3 linked regions of the Schizosaccharomyces pombe genome follow. The protein of the gene in region 2 interacts with the protein of the main gene of each other region in a pairwise test. Each region holds a gene or a part of one and is shown on either strand. Other genes may lie near its edges. The genes, in order: rga6, rho2 and rga4.

What was found.
Region 1: the proteins of rho2 (region 2) and rga6 interact in a two-hybrid assay, tested with the Schizosaccharomyces pombe proteins (one study listed by BioGRID).
Region 3: the proteins of rho2 (region 2) and rga4 interact in a two-hybrid assay, tested with the Schizosaccharomyces pombe proteins (one study listed by BioGRID).

The regions. Positions count from the first base shown.
Region 1 is NC_003423.3:574,922-585,345, reverse strand, and holds rga6 (Rho-type GTPase-activating protein Rga6), read right to left. Parts: upstream 4,202-10,424; 5' UTR 4,100-4,201; coding exon 1,898-4,099; 3' UTR 1,553-1,897; downstream 1-1,552. Other genes in the region: protein Vac8, read left to right, coding at 1-294, 411-1,304, 1,386-1,552; glyceraldehyde 3-phosphate dehydrogenase Gpd3, read right to left, coding at 5,608-6,615.
Region 2 is NC_003424.3:4,418,893-4,428,115, reverse strand, and holds rho2 (Rho family GTPase Rho2), read right to left. Parts: upstream 5,426-9,223; 5' UTR 5,115-5,425; coding exon 5,089-5,114; intron 5,005-5,088; coding exon 4,926-5,004; intron 4,810-4,925; coding exon 4,804-4,809; intron 4,751-4,803; coding exon 4,712-4,750; intron 4,600-4,711; coding exon 4,559-4,599; intron 4,491-4,558; coding exon 4,472-4,490; exon of another isoform or gene 4,424-4,471; coding exon 4,331-4,423; exon of another isoform or gene 4,287-4,330; coding exon 4,152-4,286; exon of another isoform or gene 4,105-4,151; coding exon 3,940-4,104; 3' UTR 3,470-3,939; downstream 1-3,469. Other genes in the region: dihydroorotase Ura2, read left to right, coding at 1-401; srp2 (guard protein for 5'-capping of pre-mRNAs Srp2/Npl3), read left to right, coding at 1,151-1,193, 1,238-1,323, 1,380-1,416, 1,457-1,462, 1,515-1,539, 1,589-1,657, 1,848-1,917, 2,006-2,079 and 2 more; protein nst1, read left to right, coding at 5,905-9,162. UniProt on the Schizosaccharomyces pombe protein: Involved in cell morphogenesis, the maintenance of growth direction, control of polarity and of cell wall integrity. Regulates the synthesis of alpha-D-glucan through activation of pck2.
Region 3 is NC_003423.3:1,834,406-1,845,431, reverse strand, and holds rga4 (Rho-type GTPase-activating protein Rga4), read right to left. Parts: upstream 6,017-11,026; 5' UTR 5,810-6,016; coding exon 5,723-5,809; exon of another isoform or gene 5,586-5,722; coding exon 5,530-5,585; exon of another isoform or gene 5,388-5,529; coding exon 5,038-5,387; exon of another isoform or gene 4,975-5,037; coding exon 2,666-4,974; 3' UTR 2,245-2,665; downstream 1-2,244. Other genes in the region: U3 snoRNP-associated protein Esf2, read right to left, coding at 1-270; protein Cbp7, read right to left, coding at 901-1,971; SPOM_SPBC28E12.02 (BICC1 family RNA-binding protein), read right to left, coding at 7,114-9,105; anaphase-promoting complex TPR lobe accessory factor Apc13, read left to right, coding at 10,137-10,544; SPOM_SPBC9B6.11C (CCR4/nocturin family endoribonuclease), read left to right, coding at 10,628-10,853, 10,983-11,026. UniProt on the Schizosaccharomyces pombe protein: GTPase-activating protein for Rho-type proteins.

The sequences.
Region 1 (10,424 bases), on a different chromosome or scaffold from region 2:
AAATACAGAGAGCTGCCAGCGTTGCTTTAGGAAACCTTGCTGTAAATGCCGAGAATAAGGCCTTGGTCGTCAAATTGAATGGATTAGACCTTTTAATTCGTCAAATGATGTCTCCTCACGTTGAAGTCCAATGCAATGCTGTCGGTTGCATTACTAATTTAGCTACCCTTGACGAAAATAAATCAAAAATAGCTCATTCTGGTGCCTTGGGCCCTCTTACCCGTCTTGCCAAAAGCAAGGACATTAGAGTTCAAAGAAATGCAACTGGAGCATTGTTAAACATGACTCACTCATGTAAGTTATACATTTGTCGCTAATTATTTGTTAATCTATTGAGCTTTGTTTTGAGCAAAAAGTTTCAATTAGTGGTTGTCTCATAATCTATGGATATCAACTAACTATGATACTAGATGAAAATCGACAGCAACTTGTCAGCGCTGGTACTATCCCAGTGCTAGTATCTTTGCTTCCTAGCTCTGACACTGACGTTCAATACTATTGTACTACTTCTATTAGTAATATTGCTGTTGATGCAGTACACCGTAAAAGACTTGCCCAAAGTGAGCCGAAACTCGTTCGTTCTCTTATTCAATTAATGGATACTTCAAGTCCTAAAGTCCAGTGCCAAGCTGCTTTAGCATTAAGAAACCTTGCCTCTGATGAGCGTTATCAAATAGAAATTGTTCAAAGCAATGCCCTACCCTCTTTATTAAGATTGCTTCGTTCTTCCTACCTTCCTTTAATACTTGCTTCCGTTGCCTGTATCCGTAACATTTCTATACATCCTTTAAATGAGTCTCCGATAATTGATGCTGGTTTTCTTCGTCCGTTGGTGGATTTATTATCTTGTACGGAAAATGAAGAAATACAGTGTCATGCTGTTTCTACCTTACGAAACTTAGCTGCTAGCTCGGAGAGAAATAAGCGCGCTATTATCGAAGCTAATGCTATTCAAAAACTTCGCTGTTTAATTTTAGATGCTCCTGTTAGCGTGCAAAGTGAAATGACTGCCTGTCTAGCCGTTCTTGCTTTAAGTGACGAATTCAAGTCGTATCTTCTTAACTTTGGTATTTGTAATGTTTTAATCCCATTGACAGACTCTATGTCGATTGAAGTCCAAGGCAACTCTGCGGCTGCTCTGGGTAATCTTTCTTCTAATGTCGATGATTATAGCCGGTTCATAGAGTGTTGGGATTCTCCAGCTGGTGGCATTCATGGTTATCTGGTCAGGTTTTTAAGTAGTGAAGATTCTACTTTTGCCCATATTGCTGCTTGGACCATTGTACAATTACTAGAGGCTGGTGGTAAGTTTTTTTTAGAGAATTTATTGACGATTTTGTCTACACACGATATACGGAATATATTCTTTAGCTAACTCATTATAGTTCCACGTTTAACTGCATTTATACAATCTAGCGACGATATCATCGAATTACTTAATGACATAGTTGCTAGAGATGCTAATAATGGAGAGTATGAAGATGGTGAAGGCGATGTTATATTATTATCTGGCCGGGCATTGCATTTAATTGAACAGGACACAGATTCTTAATTTTTATTTTTATTGGCACATTATATTACCCTTCATCTCTTTATATTTTTACCGTCTCAACCCCGTTTGCCAGTTCGGAAGTCTATTTGACTTAATGACATGAATCACATTTTATTAATGATTAGTTTTTTAGAAGATGATAAAAGTTCGTCCGTAGTTGATTCCAAATAATAAACTTATCCCTTCAACACCTGAATAAAACATGTGACATGGAAAAACTAACATGCATATCTTAATAAATACTACTATGAAACCAAAAAATATCAAAATGAACCTAAACTTTAAGAGCAAACAAATGGTTGTAATATATGATAAATAAATGACACCGAAAACAGAAATCCTTTCTTAAGATTTCTTCTTGTTTGATCGGAATTTACCAAACAGTTTTGTCCACAAACTGACCCTTGGAGATGCCTTTTTATTAATCTTCTGCGATTTTTTATTGGTTTCCGAAGAAGCAGTAACAGTGACCGGTGACTTTGCGACGATCGGTTTTGTATTGTTCACGAATGGCGGTGATGTGCGAGTTGACGGTTTACTATCTGTAGCAGCTGAAATAACCGACCGCGATGAAATGTTATTAGCAAAACTCATGGAAGGAACAGCAGTATCAGAAACGGTGGAAATCTTAGGCTGGGGCTGTTGATTGTCAACAACGACTTTGGTACTCTCATTTGCTACAGCATCATCATTTTCTTGGTTACCCGATTCATTATCGGAAGAGTCATTGATTAAAGGAAGCTTCGAGATATGCTTAACATTAGGATAACTTTCCTCAGATGCATTCACATTTTCAGGTATCTGTTCTGGAGAATCTTCTTTCGGGACTGCAGGAGTAAAAATAGCAACTTGGTCAGTTAACCCAACATCAGAAAAACAATTGGGTATGTCGAGAGAATTGATTTTAAGTAGTACCTCTGGCCAGTGAATAATCAGTCCCTCTACAATCTTGGCTTCAACTCTAGCCTTTTCGGTTTCAAATCTCATAAGGTCATTCACATTTCCAGAAGGACAAGATTTCGAAAGATCAGTAGAAGAGTTACCCAACAATAAAGGACCAAAAATAATACCAAGGGCTTCCGGCTTCATCAAAGTAGAGTCTTTGGTATTTTCCATTCCATTTTCCAACTCTTGAGTCCGTGTAGCTATTTGATGCAATAATGCTAGTAGAGAGCAAAGGATAGAAAAGCGCACGTAAGAATCTATTTGTGAAAAGCAAAGAGCGGCCATTTCATTCCGGATGTCTATAGGAACCTTTACTCTACTTGAATCAACGTATAATGGTACTAAAAGATTCAATATATCTTTATGCGTAAAAAGGCCACCTGGCAATAACATAATGTACCGTTTTAAGACAGCTGCTATATCGATATAACTTGGAAATCCAATACGCTTAAAAATTTCTGATGTTTCATCAAGCCAAAAATGAGGTGGAGAATAAAAGTATTCTGTGATTGCTTTTATTACGGGACCAGAACCACTAATGCGGAAAATTCCCGGTACATGCAAAGCATTTAAAGATAGAAAATGTACGCATTGAGCAAAAATATGTGGGAGCAACAAAGAAGGAGGTGCACATTCAGGAGTGGGAAATGTAAATTTGCAAAGATTTGTGGGATCTGACGTTAAATCGCCGATAGGTTTACCAAATACGGAAGGATTATGAGCAATTGCATTATGTTGATGTGCATTACGATGAGGAAATTTAAAATAATTCGTTAAAGAACGACGATGCAAGCCAGTGGACTGACGTTTTGGAGAGTAAGTAAGAGAGGGGCGGCGGAGGATAGAGGACCAAGATCCCTTGGAAGGGCTTCGCTTTGGAGAATCTTGAGAGGCATTGAACTGTCTTTGAGAGCCAAATGAAGATGGTGGGTATTGGAGAGGTTCCAACGTATCTGATGAGGATAGTTGATTCGTAGCCGACAAGGAGGGAGAATCTTGTGAAGTTTGTAACTCGTGTGAAAGGGAGCTTAGATTTAGGGATGACCTCCCTAGAGGACCATTGTTTGAAGGTTTATCAAACCGAACTTCTGATACTGCGCTTTCTTGAAGGTAAAAGCTAACATGTTCTAGGGAGGACGGAGTATCTCTCTCTTCCAATAGTGTCGAGTGTATCAGCTTAGTAGGGGATCCACATGGAGTGAAATATTTATCAGTATGAGCATCTGGAGGTGAAGAACTTTTGGATTCATTAAATACGCTATCGTCGGAGTACAGAGATTGTTTAACCTCTTTTATCTGGGAAACGTACTCCTCGAGATTAATTTCGTGTATGTTGTAAGTCTGAGCTAGCTCACGAAAGCGTGACAAGCACGAATTTTGCTTAGTAAAGAAAGGAGCTTGCTGTCCCTCCAAATTGCTTGCAGATGATGAAATTGATGTGGAAAGGCCATTTTCCACTTTCGCTAACGATCCTCCCACCTCTAGCGACGGTTCTTCGAAACGTTTCTCATCGGTCTGCGCATTGCTAGACAAGACGACATCCTTGTGCTCTTTCAGGTCCCCAAGAGTTCCATTGTTGAGAGTCGAAGGATTTAAGGTCATACTTCTCCCAACAATTTCAAATTTTACTACACGAGGTTTTCGAGGCCCGTAAAAGCTATAAACCTCAATATATACTCTCCACTGATAGAATTTTGAAATAAATGTCGATTAGAGAGACGTTGGCTTTGGTAAGAACCGTTCTACATCCGTTACTTACTAAGAGGTTCAGCCAAGTAGCAGGCGTTGAAAAGTAGAGTACGAGCCGAAGCGAAAGATAGGTGAACAAGTAGTCACATATTGAACGAACCAAAAACTCATCTTCTACACGGACTATTGTAATTTAAGGAAAGACAGCAGCTTTCAAACTCCCATGGTGCAGTTACTAATGGAAGTATTCCACTGAGAAATCTGAGAAGCAATCTTATTATTAGTTCGTAAGGAATTCAAATGTTTGGCACCAAAGCAGATATTGTTACTATATGAATTGATAATTTAAATAACAATCTCATGCTTAAACACACTTTCAAGCTATTGGAACATGAGACACAAGTATAAACAGTTCCATAGATGAGCCTCGCAATCGAGCGATTGTTTCTCGCTTAGATATAACTGTATTTTTTATGAGGGTACATGTGACTAGCAATGCGGTATCAAAAAACCAAAGGACAAAATACAAAAAACAGGATTAGCTGTTATCCAGAAAAGAATCAAATGCAAGCATGAAATTTTTTGAATAATTTTCTGAAGCACAAACAGCTCTAAGTATCAAACATTAAGAGTTGCGAGAACCGCCTAAATGGAACACTCGCTTTCATCATCATACTTGATGGTCTGAGATTGATCTGGAAAGTGGAGTGAACGAACACTAAGAATGAAAATGCTAAATTTAAATTGCTATCTATTAATATATAATTTTTCTTATCGTTTGACTTACACTTCCATTCTAGAAACTTGCAAATAGGGGCAGTAAAGATAGGCAGCAGAGGCCCTCAAAAGGACTGAAAAATTATTTACTTCACCCAAAAAAGCGTGGGCCAAGTTTATGGAAACATCTTAGCGAATATCTATCATCAAGACGAAAACAATTATCTCAAATGCAAACGGTAATAGAATGCTAACAAGCAACTATGATAACTATATAATGCTTTATAAATCAGTCTACCTTTTTTACCTCCAATAAACTACCACATTTCAAATCAAAATTTTCATACACCACATACTTTACGGATTTTTTACACATTAAAAACAAGTGAAGAAAAAACAATTCATTTAAAATTATATCTTAATCTATTTCGTAGAAAGGTCGTCAGCTATAGAGATCGCCCTAGGAGCGCAATCAAAATGATAACGTGGAATAAAAGAGGAAAATCTCATACATGTCTATCATTATCGTAGCAAACCCCAGAAAAGGAAAAGGGGGAAAACAAGCATAAGAATAAAAAACCAAAAGTTCGCACATATGTAAGACCCCCCAAAACCGAACGCATGTTCAGTTGAATAGCTTGGAGTTTAACAACGGCTGATTAGAGAGATATAGATTGACGACGGAATAAATCGAAAGAAGCAATCTAATCCTTGGAAGCAGTGTAGGCAACCAAGTCAACAACACGGTGGGAGTAACCCCATTCGTTATCGTACCAAGAGACGAGCTTGACGAATTGAGGAGAAAGTTGGATACCGGCAGAGGCATCGAAGATGGAGGAGTGGTTGTCACCACAGAAGTCGGTGGAGACAACAGAGTCCTCGGTGTAACCCAACACACCCTTCATGGGACCCTCAGAGGCAGCCTTGATAGCAGCCTTGATGTCCTCGTAGTTGGTAGGCTTGGCCAACTTGACGGTCAAGTCAACAACGGAAACATCGGGGGTAGGGACACGGAAAGCCATACCGGTAAGCTTACCGTTAAGAGCGGGAATAACCTTACCGACGGCCTTGGCGGCACCAGTGGAGGAGGGGATGATGTTGGCGCTGGCGCCACGACCACCACGCCAGTCCTTCTTAGAGGGACCGTCAACGGTCTTTTGGGTGGCAGTGGTAGCGTGAACAGTGGTCATGAGACCCTCTTCAATACCGAAGGTGTCGTTGATGACCTTGGCAAGGGGAGCCAAACAGTTGGTGGTGCAAGAGGCGTTGGAGATAACCTTCTCGGAGGGGTTGAACTTCTCCAAGTTAACACCGACGACGAACATGGGAGCATCCTTGGAAGGAGCAGAGATGATGACACGCTTGGCACCACCCTTCAAGTGAGCAGAGGCAGTCTCCTTGGTAGTGAAGACACCAGTGGACTCAATAACGTACTCAGCACCAGAGGCAGACCACTTGATGTTGGCGGGGTCACGCTCGTTGTGGACATCGATGGAGTGACCGTCGATGACAAGCTTGCCACCCTTGGTCTCAACGGAGCCCTCAAAGCGACCGTGGGTAGAGTCGTACTTGAACATATATGCCATGTAGTCAAGATCGATGAAAGGATCGTTGACAGCGACAACTTGGATCTTGCCAGTGAGGATGGCGTTACGGAGGACGATACGGCCAATACGACCGAAACCGTTGATACCAACTTTAGGAATTGCCATTGTTATCTGAAAAGAGTTAGTAAGAAGAAGAGATCAAAGAGGAGAGAAAAAGGCAAAAAGAAGCGAGAGAGGGAAGAAAGCGAAGAGAAGAAGAAGAAGAAACGATGAGCGTCATTAAAAGAAAAGATATCATTATTGAGAGAAGAATAGAAAAGAAAGTATACTAAAAACAGCAGCTTTGTCGCTTTCGGCAAGTCTATTTTAATTTCTGACCAAACTGCCGTCAAGCGAAAAATAAAGCCTTCTTTACCGAAAGAAACGGAAACTAACGAATCTTATCACGACTTCGTTGTACAATTTCACCATACTGGATATGACATGTTTTCGTCATGTCAAGTAAAATCAGAGAGCCTCTTCTCTTGGCAATCTCACTGACCATTTTCATTTCAATTCATCGCTCAAAATCCATCTTTTTCAACTAAAAGAGAATATCAAAAGAAAATATCCCTTCCTTTTCCTCAATCTATTTTTCCCTCTTGGCAGGTGTTTGACACATGTCACATGTCTCACCAAGCCAATGCTTTGCCAATGCCACAGCGCATCACATACCTAATTAATTCGATTGCTATTTCTCAAAACCAAACAAGTACTATTGCTGATTTCTTGATACTACAAAGAAGCAGACTGGCCTACCACTCCTATTTATATTGTATGTGTTTACGCTAGAGTTGTCATGCCAACGACGGTATCGTAAGCGGCGATTTCCGTGTTCGGTACTTGGCAGATCGGATAATGAAATTAGCGGCCTTCTAGATAACTTCCCATGCGAATATTTTTGGCTCATAATCATACAACAATCGACGCATTGCGTTGACCTTTCCCTCGCCTCGCTTGACAGGAACGAGAGAGGCAAGGATGGAATGGCATGGAATGGATGAGTTGGGATGGCGGTGGAAAAGAAAAAGAAATGTAAACAATGAGTGTAGAGGAAAGAAGAAGAGAAGAGAATAGCATAGCATAGCATAGCATAGTAATCAAGAGGACAAGTGGGAGAAATGAGACAAGTGGTAAATCCAAGTCAACTGTGAAATTTCGAATGCAATTGGATTCAATCCATTTCTATTGATTCTATAAAAATGTTCATTTACTTCACTATTCATCGACTCACTTCACTAATAGTCATCGAGTATATCTGCTGTGTGTGTCAGTCTCGTCCCTTCCATCATCCATCAATCCGCCCTTGGAATGGCGTTTCCAATGCCTAGATGGAATGGAATGTTTAGAGGGTTGGCCCAGTTAGCTGTTGTTAGGCTGACGATTCTTGCATTGAATTGCATGATTTTGTTTGACCGTGCTAACAGGGCTATTAGCAAGGCTCATGGCATCCCAGCGGCTCCTCGGGAATAACGAGGTGCAAAGTCTCGTTAACATCATCTGTTTGTGAGGGAGGATGGAGGAGGGTAGGAGGGTAGGAGGGTAGCGAAAAGGTAGGAAGGGAGCGGGTTAGACGTGGAACATGAAGGAGAAGACATAGAATAACAAGGAGAAGATATAGAACAATTGTTTACAGTGCACAGTTTGGAAAAGAGATTCAGTTGGAAAAGGAAAATCGTTGATGTTGAGATTGTTATTGTATAAAGTTTTTGCTTTCTATTGACATCTCTCATTTACCTACTACCACTTTCCACTCCTTTTTCTCTCTCTCTCTCCCCCCCTACTTTATCGAGTTCAACAATACTCTGCTGTCCGACTATACTGAACTACGACGCTTTGCACTATGTTCCTCTGCGCTTGACTGCCCAGGACGTTCCTTCGGTTAATCGTAAGCTGTTTCTTCGGAAAAAATTGATCGGCAGTTGGGACAATTTGAGTTTCCGGGGCGGTTACAAGGTCTTGTGATGGTTGGCGGATTCGGATTGAAAGAACCCTAATTCACCTTCTAGAGAAACCTTATGTGAATGAGCTGACGAATCAACCATCGACGAGGATCCTTTCAAGGTCCGGGATGCGCTCATCCTCAAGTCCATACTGGTTCCGAGAGTTTCTATTGCGTCACTTTTTATGTAGGCGAAATTAATTTTGGCGGGCCACCGTCCGATAAGAAAGGAAAAGGAACCGAAGGAAGCAGGAGGAAGCAGCTGAAACAGCGCGAGACTCACATACAGAGAGTGAGGAATAACACAGTAATGCAACGTAAAAACAAAGCCATCAAAAAAGAACTTTGCTCTATGGAAACACACTGTAAGCAATGGAAACCCAGAATTGTTGTCTTCATAAAGGTCAATGAGTAACACAAAAAAATATGAGTTTTTAATCAATTGACTACTTCAATCCATTCTTTCTTCATTCAATTCCCATTCCCATTCCCTTCAAACGGCCGAACTAGTTTCTTCCTTGTCCTCCATAACGAGCAGTGTCAACAACGTGCACTATCCTAACGTAGAGTGTCATTCTTTCCAAAACATTTTAGCACATTGCGTTACCTCATGCATCACAGTAATGGGGTCCAGCTCGCTTGCTAATTTACCCATTCTCCTTGCAATCCACCCCGCACTACACTATGCAACATACCGTGTTTCACCGTCGTCTCTCCATATTCGCTTGAGTTCTTGGCGTTCTCGCAAACAAACTGGATGTCTCATAAAAGGAATTCCTCTTTTTCTTTTCTTTTTTTTTTTTGAATCTTTCTTACTCCCTTTGTCCTTCGCACACTTGATAAAACAGAGGAAATTGATTTTCAACAAAGCAATTGACTTTAAACTAAATTCACTTTGTTGTTCATTCACTTGTTATCCATCGATTTTGTTCGCTTCCTCGCTTCCAATTCAATTCATTGCACTCCCACCTACTGTATTTCTTCTCTTCTTCAAATTTTATTCCAGACTCTTTTTTTTTCGCATCATCCCAAGTCACATACTTTACAATTCATTTCGCATCGTTCTTTTTCTTTCGCACGCATCCCCCGCCATCCTACATACTATTTTCACATTTACTCTATCCATCCCAAATTTACCCTAAATTATCTACCACCATTCAAATCCGCTCTCTACCCAACAACCTCATTTACATGTGCCAATTCCTAAATCACATGTTTACCATGATATGTCTAACGGTATTCGAGGCGTGATTTCTAAAAAGTCATGCAATTCAACATAAATTTTCCCCAAAATTCATCGATAATCCTGTTACCTTTTTTTGTTATAAATATTCATTCCCTTTTCTCTTTTCTTTCACATTTGTCAACGCATTCTCTCACCGTTTCACTTGTCTCAATAGCTTTTTTACAAGAGCGTTCACTCCCATTTCACTTATTTCTTGTCTCCATTTTTTAATTCTCTGTAAATTTTATCCAATTCCTTTCTCAATTGCTTTTATATCGAGAAACGAATTAATTTCACCTGACTATATTGATTTGTAACCCAACCCACTCATCATTGATCGCACTTTTCCTTACCCATTTGTTTACTGGATTCCATCCGATAACCTATGCAATCCTAAAATAGCGAGACTCGTGAAGTAACATACTGCGGGTCTCGCTATTTCGGTGGTGGTTTTCTTCTCACTATTTCTCTATTTCACGATGGGCAAATTTTTCTTTATGATGAAAATATCTTTTTCCCTTTCACGTTCCAAGTTCTGAAATCATTACTTACAAATTACTAAATTTCCTTTCTAACATCTTTCTCACTACTTTCCTAAATTACTCCTCGATGTGTTATTGCCATTGCTCCAACTTTCTCCGTTCTTTATACTTGAAATACAGTTAACCCTTTATAATGACTACCATTTTACTTGCTATTACGACTCGCTATTTTTGCGTTATATTGCTACTATTTTCAACCTTATAGGAATTAATGTTTCAAGACATC
Region 2 (9,223 bases):
ATGATCCTTATTGTTTCTGCAAGCCGGTAGCCAAAACCGAACGAGACCGACGTGCTCTTATTGAAGCTGCTACCAGTAAAAATCCCAAGTTTTTCTTTGGGAGTGATTCTGCACCTCATCCTAGGTCTTCTAAACTGAAGACGCCACCGGCAGCTGGTGTTTTTACCCAACCTTTCGCTGCTTCGTACTTAGCTGAAGTGTTTGATAAAGAGGGTCGTTTAGATGCTTTGAAGGATTTTGCATGTATTTTTGGTAGGAAATTTTATTGTATTCCTTTAGACTTCAAAGAGTCTAATATCGTCTTAAAAAAGGAGTCGTTTCGCGTACCTGAAAGTGTTGCCAATGATTTGGTTCCTTTTCATCCAAACGAAGTTCTTCAATGGCACTGTTCATGGGAGTAATTCAGTACATGTTGATTATGTGTTTTTTTTTCTATCTATTTTTTTGAACTTGTCGGCTTTTATGTTTTGGATTTACGAATTTTTAAATAACATTTGAAGTTAATTGGGTTAATCATTATGCGTCGGCGAATGCAAACATTGCGTGTCATCTGGCAAGAGTCTTTTCAGAATTCCAAAATTTTCGTAAAGTTTTTCATCCAGATAGAGAACTGGTGAATGAGCAGAAACTTGTTTTCATTATCTCAAATTCGGATTATTCATTGAAGTTTACTAAAATACTTTATAGTTATTTATAATTAATATAGAAAAAGAAAATTATACGTATAAGAACCTACGTACATGACTGTAAAGACAACAGTTACTTCTTGAAGTTGCATCTTGACTACTAGATATCCTAGCTCCTTAATCATGATTAATTAAACTTACAGTATCCCGTCGATGAAATTATCATCGCCATCTTGATCCATTAATTAATTATTATCTAACCTTCTTAATCATTTCAATAGACACTCTGAAGTATGGTTGATAGTTACTCAGATTTCATTTATACAATATTAGGAAAAAGTGTGGACCGATGAATGCATAAAATCGTTAGACAAGGTTTGATTAACACCATCTCTTTTAATTTGATTTTATATTTTATTTCATTATCTTATATTTTGTAACTTGGGTTTCGCCGGCCTTCAGCCTCAAGACTGCCGACTGAGGGTCGAACTTCACCCAGCAAGAACCAACTACACCAAAAAAAAATGTCGGAGACTAGATTGTTTGTTGGCCGTATTCCTCCTCAAGGTTTGTAACTAAATAATGTAAATAGTATTTTAACAAAAATTTAGCGACTCGCGAGGATATGATGGATTTTTTTAAAGGTTACGGTCAAATCCTTGATTGCAAGCTGATGAATGGATTTGGCTTTGTTGAGGTAAATAAAACCATTAGCCTTCTTTTTGTAATCCCTATGTGACTAACTTGATGTAGGTTGAAGACGCTCGCGATGCTCGTGATATCGTAAATGGTACGTTCATACCATCTTAAAACTTTTGCTAACAGTTTAGACTTTCGTATGCTTCAAAGGTTTAATATTCGACTTTATTTACTAATCTTATAAAAAAGAGGGCAAAGAGTTTATGGGCAGCCGGTAAGTCAATACATTATGAATTTAGATTAAAATATGCTAATGTTCGAAGTATTGTTGTAGAACCTGCTCGCGGTGAAAGAAGAAGAAGAGAGAACTTTAGAGAAAGTGCTGCTTCTAAGTACGTTGTTACGTTTCCATTAATATGTGATTAGTGGGCGATTTGGCATTGCACGCGATTGCTGGTTCTAACGATTTTGTTCACTTCACATGTGAATCAGCTCTGAGTAGTGACTATATACGGTGTTATCGCTTGCAAAATCGCATTGTCCTATAAAAATTACGGCAATATTTTTATACTAACGTATCAGATACCCCCGTCCCCGTCGCACCGGTTTCCGTTTGATTGTGGAAAATCTCTCAGAAGATGTCAGTTGGCAGGTAAGACAATTTTATACATTTAATGACCTTTGCGTCAATGCATGATTTTTTTCATATATCTATATTTCAGTGTTAACACTTTTCATAGGACCTGAAGGATGTAATGCGTAAAGCTGGTGAACCCACTTTCACAGATGCTCACCGTGAAAACCCTGGTGCTGGGTAAGTTTCTACTTTGATCATTTTTTCACCTAACTTTAATGCAGTGTTGTTGAATTTTCTACTGAAGAGGATATGAGAAACGCTTTGACGAGCCTTAATGGTGAAGTCATTAAAGGCCAAGCAGTTACTTTACGCGAAGACCCTGTAAGCATCTAATCTTTTTTAAAGATCCTTGCGTAAATTTTCTAACGATTAGCAGGATGCCGCTAATGAGCCCCTTCCCGAAGTACCCTCCCGCTTCCGTTCACGTTCTCCACCTGCTCGCCGTCGTTATCGTGATGATTATCGTAGAGGAGGCGATTACCGTCGTGACGCTTATCGTCCCGGCAGAGATGATGAACGTCGTTATGCTCCTCGTGGTGAATACAGGCGTAATAATCGTGATGAATACCGTCGTGGTGGTCGCGATGAGTATAGACGTAATTCCAGAAGTGATTATCGTCGTCCTCATGATGATGAGTATCGTCGTCCTAGAGGTGATGAATATCGCCCTGGACGAGACGAATACCGTCGTTCTCGTGATGATGGACGCCCTTCCCATGATGATGAGTATCGACGTGACGCTTATAGCCGTAGTCCTTCTCCTAGACGTGATAGAGAAGAGAATCGCTCCCCTGCCTATGAAGGTTCCAAATCCTATTCAGCTGCTCCTGAAGCATCAATGGAGTCATCTGCTCCCACTGAATCATATGACAAACCTGCTGCTTCGGAAGAACAACAGCCTTTGCAAAACCATTCTGATGTAGGTAACGGTAGCGCTGAAGGACAGGTCGCTGCTGAATGGTAAACATAGAAATTTTTCCTTTGGTAAACTATTTTTTAGTGTCTGCTTACTAGATTTTCCTGTCATATGTCTGTGGTCTTAATATCCTTTGTCTGTGATGTATTTGAGTATGAATTTATCTCTCTTTATTGGCGATTTCCTTTCTTACGATCAAGAATGAAAGGAATGTGTAATTTTTAGTGTAGTTCCGGATTTTTGCCGCGTATTTGTCATTCTTTATCATTTGGATGGATTTTGGTTGTTTTTTTTTGGTTGTTGTTCTTAATGAAGTGAACGCCCGAAGAAAAGTTAGTTGTTGGAGTATGGGTGTTTAAAGGGTATATAATTTCACATAGTTGTTTGATGAGAGTGACCACTTTAACTCTTGCCAGTCTTGATTTCCAACCCATTAATGCCCAGAAAAAAATAGGCTCGAAACTTTAGTAGGTGATAAATTTTGATATGGTTGTATACCTTTGGCGGTGTCTTAATATTTAGCTTAAATGAGCCAGAATTTTGAATTTGACCGCCCCATAAAATTACTTAGCGAAGTGAGCCTACGTATTAAATGTATCAATAAGGAAAACTGACATTTTCTATTAGCCTAAGAGAACAAAAGCATATGTACATATATGAATTTTGTACTTCATAATGAGCGCAAGCGGCAGTTCTAAAAATAAAGTCCTATGATCTTTTAAACAAAAAGTAGTTTTCATGAGGACAATAGATGCTGAAAAAGAATGAAAGATGTTTAAGAGTAAAAAAAAAAGGTAATAATAACTGAATGCGGTTTGCTTAATGAAATGAAAAAGGAGGCTAGTGTCGTTCGACCGATGCGTGAAGATTATAATGATGAAAATAATAATAATACTCCTGAGTCTCAAAATAAAATAGGAACTAAATTTGAGGTATAGGGGAGAAAAAGAAAAAAGTAAACGACAGAAGTGAAAGTGAAAACGAAATGAAACAACGGCAAAGAACAAATGCGAAGAAAAGCAAAAAAGTCTATCAGCTTTTTGTAAATGTAGGTCGCATAAACTGATAGGCTTTCCTATAAACTGAAACATGAATGTTTGCAATCGTTAGGATATTAGTAATTATGAAATGATGCAGCATTTTGTAGAACTCTTGTCATTTTCCGAATCCCGAACTGTTAGTGCTGCCCTAGTAGCAGCTTCAAATACATCGTCCACGCCGTCACCAGTCAATGAAGAACATTCCATATACTTTCTCGCACCAATCCGCTGAGCTACTAATTCAGCCTGATATCAAGAATTAGTATTCACGTGTTTGAATTATTAATATATACCTGTTGTGATTTTACAAAATTTTGATTTCGACGTCGCATTTCTTCAATAGCAACGGGATCTGACCTTAAGTCGGCTTTCATGCCCACTAAAATAAACGGAACATTTGGGCAAAGTGTATTAATTTCCTCAATCCACTATATAATGTTAATGACTGGAAAAAACAATTAATGAAACGAACCTTCGTAGAAACATTTTCAAGTGAATCAGGAGAGTCTATCGCAAACCCAACCAAAATAATGTGTGCTTTAGCGTAAGACATTGGTCTTAATCTCTGCATTGGGTTAACGACGTATTTCTCACTATTAATAACGAAACAAACCTCATATTCCTCTTGACCTCTAAAACAAGAATTAGTATGCAGGAATACATAACATATAGTTTTAACATCAGAAAAAAAAGTACTTACGCGGTATCCCACAATGCCAGTTGAACTGATTTTCCATCAACCTATTTTAGTTAGTATCAAATGTATTAGCAAAACCCAAAGAAAAGGGACCAGTGGGAAAGTAACTTTCTGTAACCAACTGAAAAAGCTCAATAACTTGTTAATCACACATACTCGACAATCTGAAACATAGTTTTCAAACACAGTCGGAACCTATAGTAACTGTTATTAAAAAACTCTACGAAATAAAGAGAAAAAAGCATTACATATTCCTATCGCCAGTAAGTTAGTAAATAAATAAATAAATAAGGTAGAAAAGACAATAAGTATTTGCGTATCGTGCAATATGCGATAAGCCAAAGCTCACTTTTATGACATCTGTACTTACAGTAGGAAAATATCCCAAAGTGAAAACGGATAACAAAGACGTCTTCCCGCAGGCACCATCGCCTACAACTACTAGTTTCCTTAAAAATATTAATATTTAAAGAAAATGAATTTGAGTAGAAGAAATAAAAGAAGCAAAAAGATATTAGGCCATAGAATCGTACCTTCTAATCGGTTGAGATTGCAACATGTACTTTTTAATAGGGAGCGGATTAAACACTGTATGAGGTTTTTTCTATGCAAATTTTTCTTAAAGAATGATTCACTGCAGATCAGACAACCAAAATTTCCCGGTTCGAAAAGCTGTAAAAATTAAACCAAATAGGTGTGAATTTTTGAAATATAAGAAATGAGTAAGCGATTGTCGAAATAGTCAAATGAAGCGATTAGCCAAACGTCCAAGCCTTTCAATTAGAGCAACGAAAAGTAGTATATGCACAAAAATTAGCTTCTCAAAGAGTATTTGTTCAAGAAATGTGGTTTTGGTGACATTTATCCCATGCGGATTATAGACACTTTTGGTGTTAAGTATCGTAAATTCAATTTATTGGAATCGTACGCTTCCTTATTGCACCTTAACATGCCTTAAAGAACTAATTTTGCACGTTAAGATGCATTAAATATGATAAAACGCCATTTGCCGTTTGGCTTTATTCACCACATTCTGCAAAGCAGCAATTGAACTAGTTAAATCCAAAAATCTTTGTGATTTGGATCATCTGGGTTGAAATCCCTAAGAAGATATACTATTTCAAGTACTTTGGGGTATACTGTTTTTGAATATTGAACTAAGAAAAGGTGGGCAGTTCGGCATTTAAGAATTTTAGGGATTACCCTTAAAACATTGCCAACGCAGACCCGTGAGCTACAATTTGAATAAAAAAAATAATTTAAATTATTTTTTTTTTAAATCGTTAGTTTCATATTTTAAGCTCATAAAAAAAGAGGCGTTGTTGGTAGGCGATTTTTAAAAAGAAAACATGAATGATAAAGCTCTTCGCACCGAAGCACTCAGTGTAGGGTTAGAACCTCCAAGTTTCAAGGATCTTCTTATACCTATTCCCAACTCTGGTACAAAGAAAAAGAATAAAAAGAAGAAAAAACCGAAAGCCAAGAAAAATGTCGAGACTCAAGCAAACGTGGATTTGCTTGGGTCGGCAGGGACCGATTCTGCAGTTACAGACGTTGGCGCGAATAATGGTGTCATAGATCATCAAGCGTCTTTGGAACTTTCAAATTTGAATTCTCGTATTTCTCATCCGCAGCTGGTCTCGGCAAATGGTGATGATTCATCGTTGATTAACGTCGAAGGAATATCTTCGACGGATTGGCAATTCACTCTTGAATCTGACGATACCATAGAACATTCTCCCCAATGTATTCTTTCTACCTCCAGTTTCGTGGATGAAGCCGAGTTTCCAGTTCATATACCTGGTTTGGAAGACGCGACGTCGTCCAATATGTCACCGAACTCCGTTCAAAATAATATGAATTTGAATACAGTAGCGTTAGGTTCGTCAACTTCATCTAAACGGAAAAAGAAAAAGAAGAAGAAGTCAAAAGCAAATAGTGCATCGTTGAATGTGGATGATCAAAGAGATTTTGAACAAGTTTATTCTACGGACGTTGCTATTACTTATAGGAATGGGCAAGCGCTTTCTTATTACAACGGTTCTGTGCGTCAAGCCAGTATGAATAATAACGTTAACAATAATAAATCCAAAGATATTTGGAGCAGTTCGAATACTGAGGAGCGGGAGCAAATTCGGGAATTTTGGCTTTCCTTAAGTGAAAGTGAACGCAGGTCGTTAGTTAAAGTCGAAAAAGAAGCTGTTTTGCAAAAAATGAAAGAGCAACAAAAATACTCATGCTCTTGTTCGGTGTGTGGAAGGAAACGTTTAGCAATTGAGGAAGAGTTGGAAGTACTGTATGATGCTTACTATGAAGAATTAGAACAATATGCTAATATTCAACGTAACCTTGCAAATACCGAGTCTGTAAACGCTTCAGACGAAGGTTCAGACAAGTCCCAGAAAGGAATCATCTCCGATTCACCTAAGCTTTTATCGATTCCTCTGAACAACGTACCATCAAAATCTCTCAATGATGATATAACCCAAGACGAGTTGAATTCTTCAAATGCTGATGTTGATGAAGAAGTCATTGAAACTACTAGCTTGGAGGAAAAAAACGTGGATAATCAAGAATTCGTCACTTCTATAAGCAACGGAAATCAGACATTGGAAGACACTTCACATTCCCCTCAAACACAGCCTCCTTTTCAGCCTCCTTATCCCTCTAAAGCAGATGAGAAAAATAGCTATCATTCTGATCTTTATAACTTCGGGAGTAGTTTAACGGTGAAAGGAGGTATCTTAACGGTAGCGGATGACCTATTGAAGAATGATGGGAAGAAGTTTATAGAAATGATGGAACAGTTAGCTGAGCGTCGTATGCAGCGTGAAGATAATAGCAATTTTCACGAACCAGAGTTATACGAAAGCGGGTTGGAATATGACGAAGATGAAGAAGAAGACGAAGAAGATGTAGATGAGGACGAGTTAGATCTAATGACCGATGAACAAAGGATGGAAGAAGGACGCAGGATGTTCCAAATTTTTGCTGCCCGTTTATTTGAGCAACGTGTGTTGCAAGCTTATCGTGAGAAAGTTGCTCAACAACGGCAAGCTAAACTTTTAGAAGAGATTGAGGAGGAGAACAAACGCAAACAGGAACGTGAGCTCAAAAAAATAAGAGAGAAGGAGAAAAAGAGGGATAAAAAGAAGCAATTGAAATTGGCGAAGGAGGAAGAGCGTCAAAGACGCGAAGCTGAGCGTCTTGCTGAACAGGCTGCTCAAAAAGCATTGGAAGCTAAAAGACAGGAAGAAGCTCGCAAGAAACGGGAAGAGCAACGTTTGAAGCGTGAGCAGGAGAAAAAGCAGCAAGAACTTGAGCGTCAGAAAAGAGAGGAAAAGCAAAAGCAGAAGGAAAGAGAGAAGAAACTGAAGAAGCAGCAACAAGAGGCTGACCGTGAAAAAATGGCGAGAGAACAACGACTAAGAGAAGAAGAAGAAAAACGTATTTTGGAAGAAAGGAAGCGAAGGGAAAAATTAGACAAAGAAGAAGAGGAACGTCGGCGTCGTGAGTTACTTGAAAAAGAATCAGAAGAGAAAGAAAGGAGATTAAGAGAAGCTAAGATCGCTGCTTTCTTTGCACCTAATCAGACTAAAGAGGGTTCTGATGGTTGTACTACTTCTTCTCAACTTGGCCTTTTTGAAAAAAAAGGCGATCTCGTAAACGATGAGGATAAGCTTTCTTCACATCTCCTAGATTCTGTACCTAATGCTTTGCGGCAAGCTCCCATAGGCCTTAAGAACACAAATAATTTATCGGAGCGCAATGCTTCTTCTAATCTGCTTAATTCTTCGTTATTTTCATCTTTTAATTCCGTCAACCCTTTAATTTCTCTTGAGCCTAATCCTTTAAATAGAACACTTAATAATTCCGTAAACTTAACTGATTTTGGTAGAAAGCCAAATGGTTTACATTCTCCATCTTCACTCCTAAGTAATTCCAACAATTTTGGATTAAATCCAAATGCTCGGCATTCTCTTAGTAGAGCCAATTCACCGGTGCATCATTATCCTTTTGCAACACCTCCTTCTCAACGTGCTAATAAATATCCATTGAATAATGGAGCAAACGTACCAGCTTTGCTTAATTCATTTTCAAGTCCACAATTAAGTCCTCTAGTAAATAGAGTTTTGAACGAGCCGTCTAGTTCCCCTTTATCGTCCTCAAGTTTGAAATCCCCGTTATCCAAGGAAGGCGTCTTAAATCAACAAGGACATGAGCAGTATAACTTCTCACTGTCACCATCTATCCGAAATAAGCTATCTCCTATTTGTCGTCCTAGTCAAGGGAGTTCTCCTAAGCTGAAGAATAATTTGTCCAACACAGAGGAAAGGATGGGTAGTCGTGCACTATTAGATGACAAAACAGATTCTGTTATCACAGCTTCTAATTCAACCACTTCTGGTCTGTCACGAGATGAATCTAGTAATCCTAATAATTATGAGTTGTTAAACGCGTTTAATCAAAACACCTGGAAAATATCTCGGTCGACTTCCAATAAAAGTCTTATTCCCGAAAGTCCATGGGGCGTTGCGCTGGGCGCATTTACTCCTAATGCATCTACCCAATCTATTCCTTGGGGAAATCGTACTTGGACAGATTAAAAAGTACCTTCAAAGAAGGCAATTTATCTAGTTCTGTTAAGATTTGTGTACATAAATATTT
Region 3 (11,026 bases), on a different chromosome or scaffold from region 2:
ATTTTCAGAGCCGCCTGAAAAGTCTTCATGGTCTGAAGTTTCAGACTCGAACGTGGAATCTCTCCGGAAGCGATCAAGATGGGCATCTCGTTCCTCAAGCTCATCGGCGGAGCTTTCAGATTTGACCTTTAAAACGTCTACAACTGGTTTTGTTGATCTTGAGGAACGAATAGCTTTTAAAAATCGTTCATCTTCTTCATCTTCACTCAAATCTTGGTCAACGTACTTCTCTTCTTCTTCGGCCCCAAATAATTGTTCAGCTGTAGACATATTTGGCTAATGATTTGCTTGTTGGTTTACTTTTCAATCTAAAAGTTAAGAAGTAATCTTTTAAAGAAATTCTATGCCACAACAACTTAATCTTCGAAACGCCTAAATTGTAGAAATGAAAACTTCTATACACTCGAGTTTCATGAATTTCAAGTGACAATAAATTGTTACCTAAAAAGGAAAACCGTGAAAAAAGATGAGAATGAAATGATTTTAGTAATATTTTATGTTATTTATAACTAACATTTTTCAAGTTAATGATCTATGATCAATAAAAAGGTAATAGAGGCTGTTTGCAATCTCAACAAAGTATAGGTGTTCAAATTATTTGAAAGATGAGTGAATCCTCGAAGATAAACAAAGGAGTGACTAAGAATGAAACATCATGGGGGAGTGGTTATAATTGACAATGCTTTATCTGAGATACAGTAGTCTTCAGTAGCTTTTGGATCAGGCTAAGAATTAAATTTAGCGATATTTTATCCCTAGATTTCTTTTGCTTTTTCTTTTTAACATAAAAAATTGAAAACAACCTTCTCTCGAAATTATGGTGAATTTATTAGAACGGATTGAACAGTTAAATTACCAGTAGATGGAATATGTTCGGTCAATTTTTCACCTCATATCAAATCAAAGCACTAATTTGGATACATCCTTATCAAAATATTCCTTTTCAAGATGAGCAAGACGCTTTCTTGAAATTATGCTATGAAACGACTGTTTATCGGGCTGAAACACTTTAGCATAAGGCGAATCACAAGTATAACAAGTTTGCTTTAAGAATGTAAATAGAGAATCATTACTGTCAATATGCTTTAAAGCGAACTTCAGTAACTCCTTAACATGAAGCAATCTTTCCCTAGGATCGAAATAAACTTGAGGACCAATATTAAAAAATTTGCATGCTTGATTTTCAGAGCTTTGAAGTAACAAGTGGGGAGAAAAAAATGATTTATCAAGAATATGGAAATATGGTAATTTAGAAAGTACTTCGATCCACGCATTCGCAGCTTTTTGCCTGAGTAATGGAGTAGGAAAAATTTGAATTAAAAAAGCCATAGAGTCACATAACTGTGCAGAAAGCATCTGTGAAAAATTTGAAAAATTTACATAGTCCCTTTCAAAGGAACCCATCAAGTCAAGTAAAGGGGACCTTTGGTTTAACGGAAACTGTTTACAGGCTCTAGCTACCGTACACTTCTCCAAAGGTGTACGAGGAAGTTTGCTAAGGTTGAGACGATAACTGAAAGAATCACTAATTAAATTAAATGGAAAAGATTTGAATAGAGTTTGGAACCTGCCAAGGTATATTCGCGGTCTGGTTTCAGTCTTTGGAAATAAACTGTAGCAATCCTCCCACAAGGAAACACTTTGATTTAAAAGTACAATGGTACTAGTTTCATCAAGACAGCTTCCAAATCTTTTCAAAAGGCTCCTTGTTTTGGTGATTTTAGAGTCCACAAGTAGGCATTCTATATGTTTGGGCTTTTGACTTCGAAGAAGAATGTTGTCAACTCGTTTAGGAATTGCAGATGAATTTTTTTTATAAACAATCGCCTTTGGCTCTAGCATTTTGCTGTGCAGCTTACAATGGGTTAGGATAACCGGTCTTTGGTCAACTGGTTTTTTTATTTGAGACTTTGCGACGAACCAGCCGGCTTCAGTCGGGCCCAAAATGCATCGTTTAATAACATCTGCCATTAGTAAAATTCCGTAATTTTGTTCACATAGATAATAAAATATCCTGCTTAAAGACCCTCTTTTCTCAAAAAAAAGTGGTAGTAAAACAGGAGTTGGTTTTTTGTTAGACGTTCGAAACTCTATTTAACCCCCTTCAAAAAATTTACCATATAACGTATATAATTTTTGTTTATAGGAATTGCTTTTGGTTTTTTAGAATTCCATTAAGATAATGGGCATGATATATCTACAAAATCACTTACTCACAATACGTTGCACTAGCATTTCCTAAGTTAGGGATCTTGGGAAAAAATGCTTCTTTAAATCCTTGAAAGCATAATAAAATTAAAAAAAAATACAAATTTCTCCTTTTTTATACATGCAATTGCATTTTATTCATAGCCTAGCATTGTGAGTAATGCCAAGTAGACTAAAACAGGGAAATGATTAAATAAAAGCGATGGATGTCAGTCTGCAGTGATAATGCATTATGAAGAAGCTATACGCCAAATCCATAAAACACTCATCTGCCACTGATTTCACGATGACATCTAAAAATGACCAAAAATGAAACTATCTTAGCAAATGCAAAAAGGAATCTCGATATAACTGCCCAAAGTTATGGTACAACTACTAAAACAACAAAAAAAGACGAATAAAGAATATAAAGGAACGTGCAAAACAAAAGAGCGAATTATTAAAGGATAGTGTGAATTTAGGCAAAGACTTCATGTACATGATCTATCAAAAACGCAAGACTGTAATTCTTAACAGTCATGTCAATAACGTCTCTGGAATTATCGGGGTCGCGTATTAATGTTGGGGAAAATACTACTGCAAGGTTCTTGGATGTCATTCGATTTGCATGACTATATGCAGCAACCCTTGCTAAATGTCTAATAATGAGCTGCAAAATTTCAGCATGAGCTGGAGGAAGACTTTTGATGACCATTATAAAACCGTCTAATTTATCTTGGAAAGAGGCACAATTTGCTGCTGTGATGAACGGAAAGTATTGGTCATAGGTAATAATTGGATTAGGAAGGTTGCGAAGATATTGCTTGAATACAGAAGTGACAGCAGAAATATCCTCACTTGGATCAAGTACCGTATCTTCATTTCTTAGTAACGCAACAATTTTTTTCATTTGAGAAGTTGCCCCTGATTTGCGATACAGACCTTCAAAATCCATGCCGTATGACTCGATAAAATTTATACAAGAAACGATAAGCGTCGGGACTCTCAAGAGTGTTAGCCTGTTTTGATCGAAGTCGTCAGGATTCAAAGCCCAAACAGGAGATTCGCTTTTTTTAGATTGATACTGACGATCTATAGTAGAACTAACGCAATCCTGATAATGTGCTCTAAGCTCATTGGAGTATTTACCGCAAAGTTTGCAGTGACCGACCGCTGGAACGAAATCCTCTTGTTCTTCAGAAGCTAAATGTTCTTCAGAAATACTGGGAGTACTCGACATGTGAGGAGAATCTCTTTTCCAATGAAACCGTTTAGAAAATGACTTCTTAAGATCTATTTTAGAGTTCCGTTTGTTATACCCTCCACTCTCCTTGTCTTTATTGTCTTTGGGTCTAAATCCAAGGCTAGATGCAACCATTTGTAGACGCGAAAACGATTCTCGCGGAGACGGGGTTGAAATCGTTCGGTTGGATTTTTTATCATTATTAAATATTCCGAAAGAGGAAGAAGTTCGCTTCTTATGCTGCTGCTCCCTCAAGTATGCCAATTCTCTCTCCAATTGATTGTTAAGGCTTACCAGTTCTGTGTTCTTAACATTCAGATATGCGGTTTCTTCCATTACAGTGCTGTAAGCGTTTTGCAATTTAGAGACAGTCGTAGACAAAGCGTCTCGCCTCAAAAGTAAGGTAGACAGTTCAGGTTGAAAAGATTTCCGTAAATAATCTAATCTATAATTTAAATCTGCAACCAACTCTTGCTTGAAAGCTTCGGGGGACACGGGAGTCTGCTGCTCTATGATAGAAGCCAACGAAGTCGCTTCCAACAATAAGGTTCCAACCTCAGCTTGAAGCTCTGAAATACGAATGGCGAGTTCATTTGCGCTTTCCTCTGTAGCATCAAATACGTTTGAAGTAAACACATCACTTGCTCTAACCAAAGAACTTCGATTGTATTCAGGTTCACATGCTTGATGCAAACTAACTTGCGACAAATTTAAACTTTTGGCCCGCGGGGAAGCCTCATAATTTGAAGAGTTCGTCAATCTTTTCTTCAAGCCGTTTGGTTCGCTACTAAGTCGTTTGTCATCTAACTTATTAAATACCGTAGGATATCTAGGAAATCTAGCCTTTGTAGGAGTTTCGTCGCTTTCCAATCCGTTAACGTAATATTCGTCAAGATTAGATAAACTGTTTCGATTTCTAGGAACCTTTAAATTACATTTATTTGTGACATCACGAAGAGCACCCCTTAAATGGATAGGAGATAGAGCTATTCTGCCAGACACATATCCATATTTAGATGGTGATGTTGTTGTCGAAACAGATTTGTAATTCATAGTAGAAGAGCGGCGAAGTGGAGGAGGATTAACAACGCTTTCATTTTTAGGAAGTTGAGGAAGCGTACCATTTTCGGTTGGTGATTGAACAAAGGCGTGATAAGCAACAGGTTGCTGCACGCTATTATTATTTACTACTGAGCTTTGCCTTGAAGAAACTGGTTCAATTGGTATCGAACTTCCAGAATGAAAAGAGTCACACGAATCAAATGGAGAGGCATTAGCTGAACGAAATGAGGGACCATTAGCTAGTGGAGAGGGAGAGGTTTTAACGAAAGAATTTTTGGGTTTAAGTAAGAAGTCCTTTTGGATGTCTTTGTAAGATTTTGCGGAGTTTATATCACCAGGTGTTTCATAACCATTAGTTTGAACTTTTAATTGAGGACGGAGAGAGTTTGTAGGAGAGCTGGTATTTTGCATTCGACCAGATAATACGGAGGATGGAGAATCAGACGCTATAAAATGCGGGTTTTGAAAGCCTTGGTTTTGCCCTAAAATTAAAGTTAGAAACATAAAGACAATATCAATAAATACTACATAAGCAACAAACTTACCAGTTAAAGAAGTGTTTTCCGCAGTTTGTGCGATATTCCTAAGAGGAATAAACCCTGATGCGCTTTCCATAACAGCCTTTTGATTCTCTTCATCTTGTTTACGCAAACAAGGAAGGCAGTAATGTTGACCTTTGAACTTGCCAAAAGCATTTGAATTAATGAAAGCTCGACAATTGGAGCAACAAGGATGATTAGCTTGACTATTGCTTACTGCGTTGAACTCGCAAATAGGAGTTGAGCAACCGTTGCAGATATCAACACATAATTTACAGAATATTTGCTTTTGATCGTCTTGAGAAAAATCTTCAGAGGAAGGGTCTAATTTTTTGTTGCAGTTCACACATTTAAAACTAGCAAACCGTCTTAATTAGTAAATCAAAACAACAAGAAGCACAAACAAGGGTAATCTTTGGAGCATTTTATATTTTTTTATTCAATCTATAAGAAAAAAAAAAGATCCAAAAATCCCAACGTTTGCATTTTCAATCATACCAATCGGAATGCCAACATTTCCCACCGAACCAAACTTGAGAGGTACTGGGAACACTCTAGAGCAAAAGTTAGTAAATGCCGTTCATTACAGCTGGGAAAAAATAAAAGAGCAGTGTCCAATTTCAAGACAGGGTCTCGTTTTGTGAAAAGACCGCTCTCCGGACACGGCGATTAAATTTTGAACCTCACATACTTCCCAACATTTAATACAAAAACAAGTACGTTCGGATGGCGTCTCCAAACTAAGTCTGTCCAGATGAAGTGTCGTACCCGAATTCATAAGGAAATCAATATTCTGAAAATTAAAAGAAAGGTGTTTCCCAAGAGAATGGATAGGTAAATTACACCAGCTCAAAAAATGAGCGGCAGCTAAGATAGAAAACTCTTTACGGTTTTATTCAAAGTTTGTTCTTGATTAAAAAATAAATAAAAATACCAAGGCTTTACAACATTTGCTAGCTCTTTTAAACTCGTAGCCGTTTGTGGTGGAGGTCAAAGAATAGGACCTTTGTTTATATAGAAGGCTACACTGGCATTTGTTCCTTTTGTTACCGCTATGGCTTTGCAGCGAATAAACCACCAGGTTTCGATCTAGCTATTATTAATATTTGCTTATTTTCCAGATTCTTTCTATATCGTTTCCTTATGTTTCATACTTTGTGTAAGTGATGGTTGCTTCCTTCATATTATTTTGAGATTTTGAAACATTTAAAATGATATTGCTTATACAAATTTATCGAGATTTATTGTACGACTAAAAATGAACTATACAACATTCCCCCTGTTCATCTTTCGTTAGTGTTATTAGCAATCCTGTCAGCGAGAACGAAGTATTGCTCGACTCTTGAGAAAAAATAAGAGTGGCTTGTTTCTGTGCTACTTGATTAGTTCGTTCAGTTAAGCGTAATATAATTTGTATAAAAAAAACCGAAGAAACCCAATAACCGCAAAGGGTGCATTACGGTTCACACGTCTTTTTTTATAGTCGAACGACGTCTTTATGTTTAACAACTCTTGTGTAATCCCTTTTTGTTTCTTTAATTTACTAATTTAATCATCATGCATTCCAAAGAAAGTGGATGGATTAACTCAATATCGTTTTCTCATCAAATACGATTCTAATTAACTGGTCAAAGAGTGTTAGATGTCACAGCGTATAGCAAGTTGATTAATAACGGTTAGTGCCAGTTTCTACTTCTTTTTACTGAAAAGATGTTTGTTGTTATTATATCAATCTAGCTGTGTTTATCGACGTTTTATCTTTTGTTTTCAATGACAATTTATTAACAAAATAAGAAATAAAAAAGGCATACGAACAGTGGTTGCCGTCCTGCACAAATCGTTGAACTGCTTAAAGTTTAAACTTGTCATGTGCTTCAAAATTCTGCGTGGATCACGTTCATTAAATTATATTGTGCACTTAAGATGTGTATCAAAGTTGATACAGTGGAGCACTTTTGATTTTCAAAAAATTTAGTTTCCGAATTTAATAACCAGCTTGAGTGTCTGTTATGGACATAAAAAATATAACGAGAAAGTGTGGTGATCTATGGGCAGGTCGATGACTGGATTCTGACTTAAAATTCAATTAGCAAACAAATACTTCGGGATGTCGTATCCTAATCCTTCAGCTGTCTTAATGAATAAAGATCGGACGGCCCACAAATTTTCGGAGAACTTTGATGGTGTGCGAATGAGCACGTTGTGCCCGTAACAGTCAAAAGGAGTAGTTGAGAATTCAATGTAACTATTATAAAGTTTAGTTACACGTTGGATTTGCTCTCCTCGAAATCCAATGAGTTTTTTGTGAATCTCCTCTGGAACGTAAAAGTGCATCTCAGCTGGAAATTCAAGCAACATTGTGTTCATTCCTTTAATTACTCTTTCCAATTCGTCACTATATATATCAACCGTGAATATACTCGTCGACTGGGGACAAAACAAGATGTCCCCATTCTTTAAGTTGAAACGGCATTGCTGCTTTACCTTATCCAGTTTTCCATTTTTTTTACCGGATATGAAATCTTGATCCTTGGTTGGGGCTTCAAGCAGTATCTGGTGCCATTGGGATTGTCCAAATTTATAAAATATTTTGCTTGCTTTATCCATTGCTATAGGCACGGTGTTTTCTTGTCCGAAATATTCAATCCCATTGGTTTTTAGGAGCATTTCGACTCCAGAAGCCATGCAAATTATTGCAATTTGAGCTACAAATTCTGTTGGTGGAATACTTAGCTTCTTAAGAGGAGAGAATGACATTTTTTCTCCTATTCCATTTGTTTCCACTATGGAGCCAGTCGAGGATACAATAGAGGACAATTCAGAGCTTGAAACTCCTTTTTCAATTGTAGACGCTCTTCTCCAAGAACCAGCAACTCTCAGAAAGTCTTCGTTGTCTTCAACTCCAAACTGAGTTTTTCCTTGTACATATTTACTTGCAAGCTTTGCCAATCGGAGTGCTGTTTTTTCAGAATTCGCTATAGAAGATGAGTAGATTTTGACTTTTGAATTTTCTGGGCTCGTTTCTCCTCCTTCTTTGAAATACTCAGGAAAGCGAATAAACGAAGAATTTTCTTCCATAATAAGCCGAAGCTCATCCATTTCGTAAGCGAGAAATTCGAAAAGCTTAACAAATGAAATTTCTGTTACGTGAGTAAACAGTTTTAGATGTTCTTCTGCGTAATAAAACGCCTCTTCGAGTCTTTGCAATTTTTCCTCTTCTCCTGTAATAATTATTTTACTTGAGTTTAAGGCGGGTAAGGTTTGAAGCCGAGGGATTGAGTCGCTGCAAAACGGTAATGTATAAATATTAATTGATTCAGTAGCCTTCATTCCGGCAGTACTAGAAAATGCTTTTCCAACGAGAATTGGCTGAAAAGATACAGAAGTTGCAATAGCTACTACCGATAATCCTCTGATTTCATCCATTAATGCTAATACGCGAATTCTAGCATGTTCAACGCTGCAATAGTCACCATAAAAGACAATAAAAAAAGAATTCTCTGCGTTCTTTTGACATGAAAATTCATGCCTAGTAGACTCTAAATGCCTTTGGTAGAAGCTTTGTTGTTCATTTAATCGATTGCTGAATCCGCTGTCAGTACGTAGCTGAAAATCGATATCATGACACATGGAACGATGCATGATATAAATTTTTGCTCCCGTTATTTCCGTTATTTTGTCCAAATGTTTCATAGTGTCTTCATAAACGTACCCATCTTCATCAAAAAGGAGGTTTTCGAGGGGTTCTTCGAGCACAAGTTTGCTGATTAGAATTTTGGGAATGGCTTGCAAAATCTTTATTTTTGCAGTGTACACATTTTTATAATTTCCTGAAACAGTAACCACTAGTTCATTGCGGGAAGATGATATGCTCATTCCTTTATGTTTGACATGTAGTTTTATATTAACTGGCAACTCTTTTTCTGTCTCAATGCACTTTTCTTCGGTTAATCTCCTAATTTGAGAGTAAATATCGCTTTCATAATAGTCACATTTACTAGCATAAAGGGATGCCTCTTCGGGAGGAGGTGTAGATGGATCAGGAATTGGAAATGCTAAAACATGAGAATCCATTTTGGTGATTTTAAGCACAAAATTTTCTTATTGTTAAATCGTTTGATTGGAAATTTCGAAGCTTAGTGAAGAGTAAGTTTTTCGTGTTCGAAAGAAAGATTAAAAGAAATCCAAAGGAATGATAAACGATATAGGTTTGAATACAAAATTATTCCGAAAGTTACTTCTGAAGGGTTGGTTGTTGGTTGTGTTGTTGCTTCCGTGAAAGTTATTGTTTAGCTTCCAAATGTAAATAAACAATGAATAAATCTTGGAATTGATATGCGATTGGCAATGAATGATAGCTTAAACTTTAATTTTTTGCTGAAAAATAAACAGAACGTTTTCGCAGAACGATGTGTATTGTACTAGTTTGACTGTGGAATACAAGTTTGTTTATGCAAAGGTAGACACATATATATATACAGCACATGACTCTAAGGTGATGCACTAATGACTAGGAATACTTTTAACATAACCATCACAATTTTGTATTCTTTTTACTAATTAGGATGGCTGATTTATGATCTGCCAAAGCCTCTTTAACTCAAAACAGTATATGATTTGCCATTGACATTTTTTCAGAAAAGGGGGAATATGATTATATGATTGTGAAATATACGCTTAATTTTTCATTATAACTCTGTCAGTATTGCTAGGGTTTTGGACACAATCATAGCTTAAGTAAAACATTGCACTATTAGTGTCATTCTTTGAAATTTGTAAGCTAAGCAAGCACATATATTTACCTTATTTATCAAGAAAAATAACATGCCAATAGGAATAAATAGATTAAGAGACGAAGGTTTTGAGAAGAATAGTAGCAAACCACCTAACTGATTTTTATTTCTACTTAAAAGTTCATAGAATTATGTGAATAAGAAATTAATCTAGAATTCTTATAATTGATTTTCATGGAAAGATCTCCCTCCCCCCAACTAGTAGACTTTGCTGCTAAATGCTTTGTTTACACACTTACCACCGACTTCTCCAATAACACCAACCGTATAAAAGCACCATAAGTCTCCTACTTGGAATCAGTAAAACAATTAATGGATTCGAATTACAATTATGTTCATATGAATAAACCGGGAGTAGTTTTGTTTGCCTCGGATTGGCTAAAAGATAGACTTCCAGTTGACGATGTCGAAGTGCGAGTAGAACACTTACCACCTGTTACAGAAGATGAGATGACTATTCAACATTCTAGTGCAAATCTAATCTTAATGAAAAACAAACAGCTTAGGCATGAACCGGCTTGGAAAGATTTGGAACTCGAAGATTTAGTTAATGCCTTTGCATTCATTCAAGGCTCTTCAAATGCCGAGGGTAAAAATACAATTGAAGATAATTTTGAAACAGATCCTTTCAAATCAGTCAAAGAAGCTCCAATGGCTCCTTTTCTTGAAGCGAACAGAAGGCATCAAGGAGAGCACGCTAGTATGCGGTATTTTAGATGATATACCTGAGGTTGTACGAACCAACAGTCGTTAATCCATTTCGGCTGTGAAAACTTAAATAAAGTCTACTCAAAAGTCATTGTATGTACACTTGTCCTAAAACGTGTACATTGACTTTGAAGTTTTTTATCGATCGATTCCACACTGATTATAGATTATCCAAACTTGCTATATCATTCTTTGATCAGAAAAAGAACAAGATGGCAGATTCGATACCCGTTAAGAAAAAAGGCTCAGCTAAAGGCCCTCCTTCGTTCGTAACGCCTGAATACATAGAGAAACAACGCCAAAAAAAACTTGAGAAAATGGGTATGAAAAAAAATTTTCGTTCATCTAGTCGAGCAACAATAAGAAGGTTGTTGTGAAACTTTTTTTAAGACCGAATCTCTACTCCTTTGTTTAATTTTTTGTTGCTCAATTTTATTAACTGATTATTAGCTAAGAAGGCTGCTCGAAAACCTATTGCTCCACCAAGCAATGCT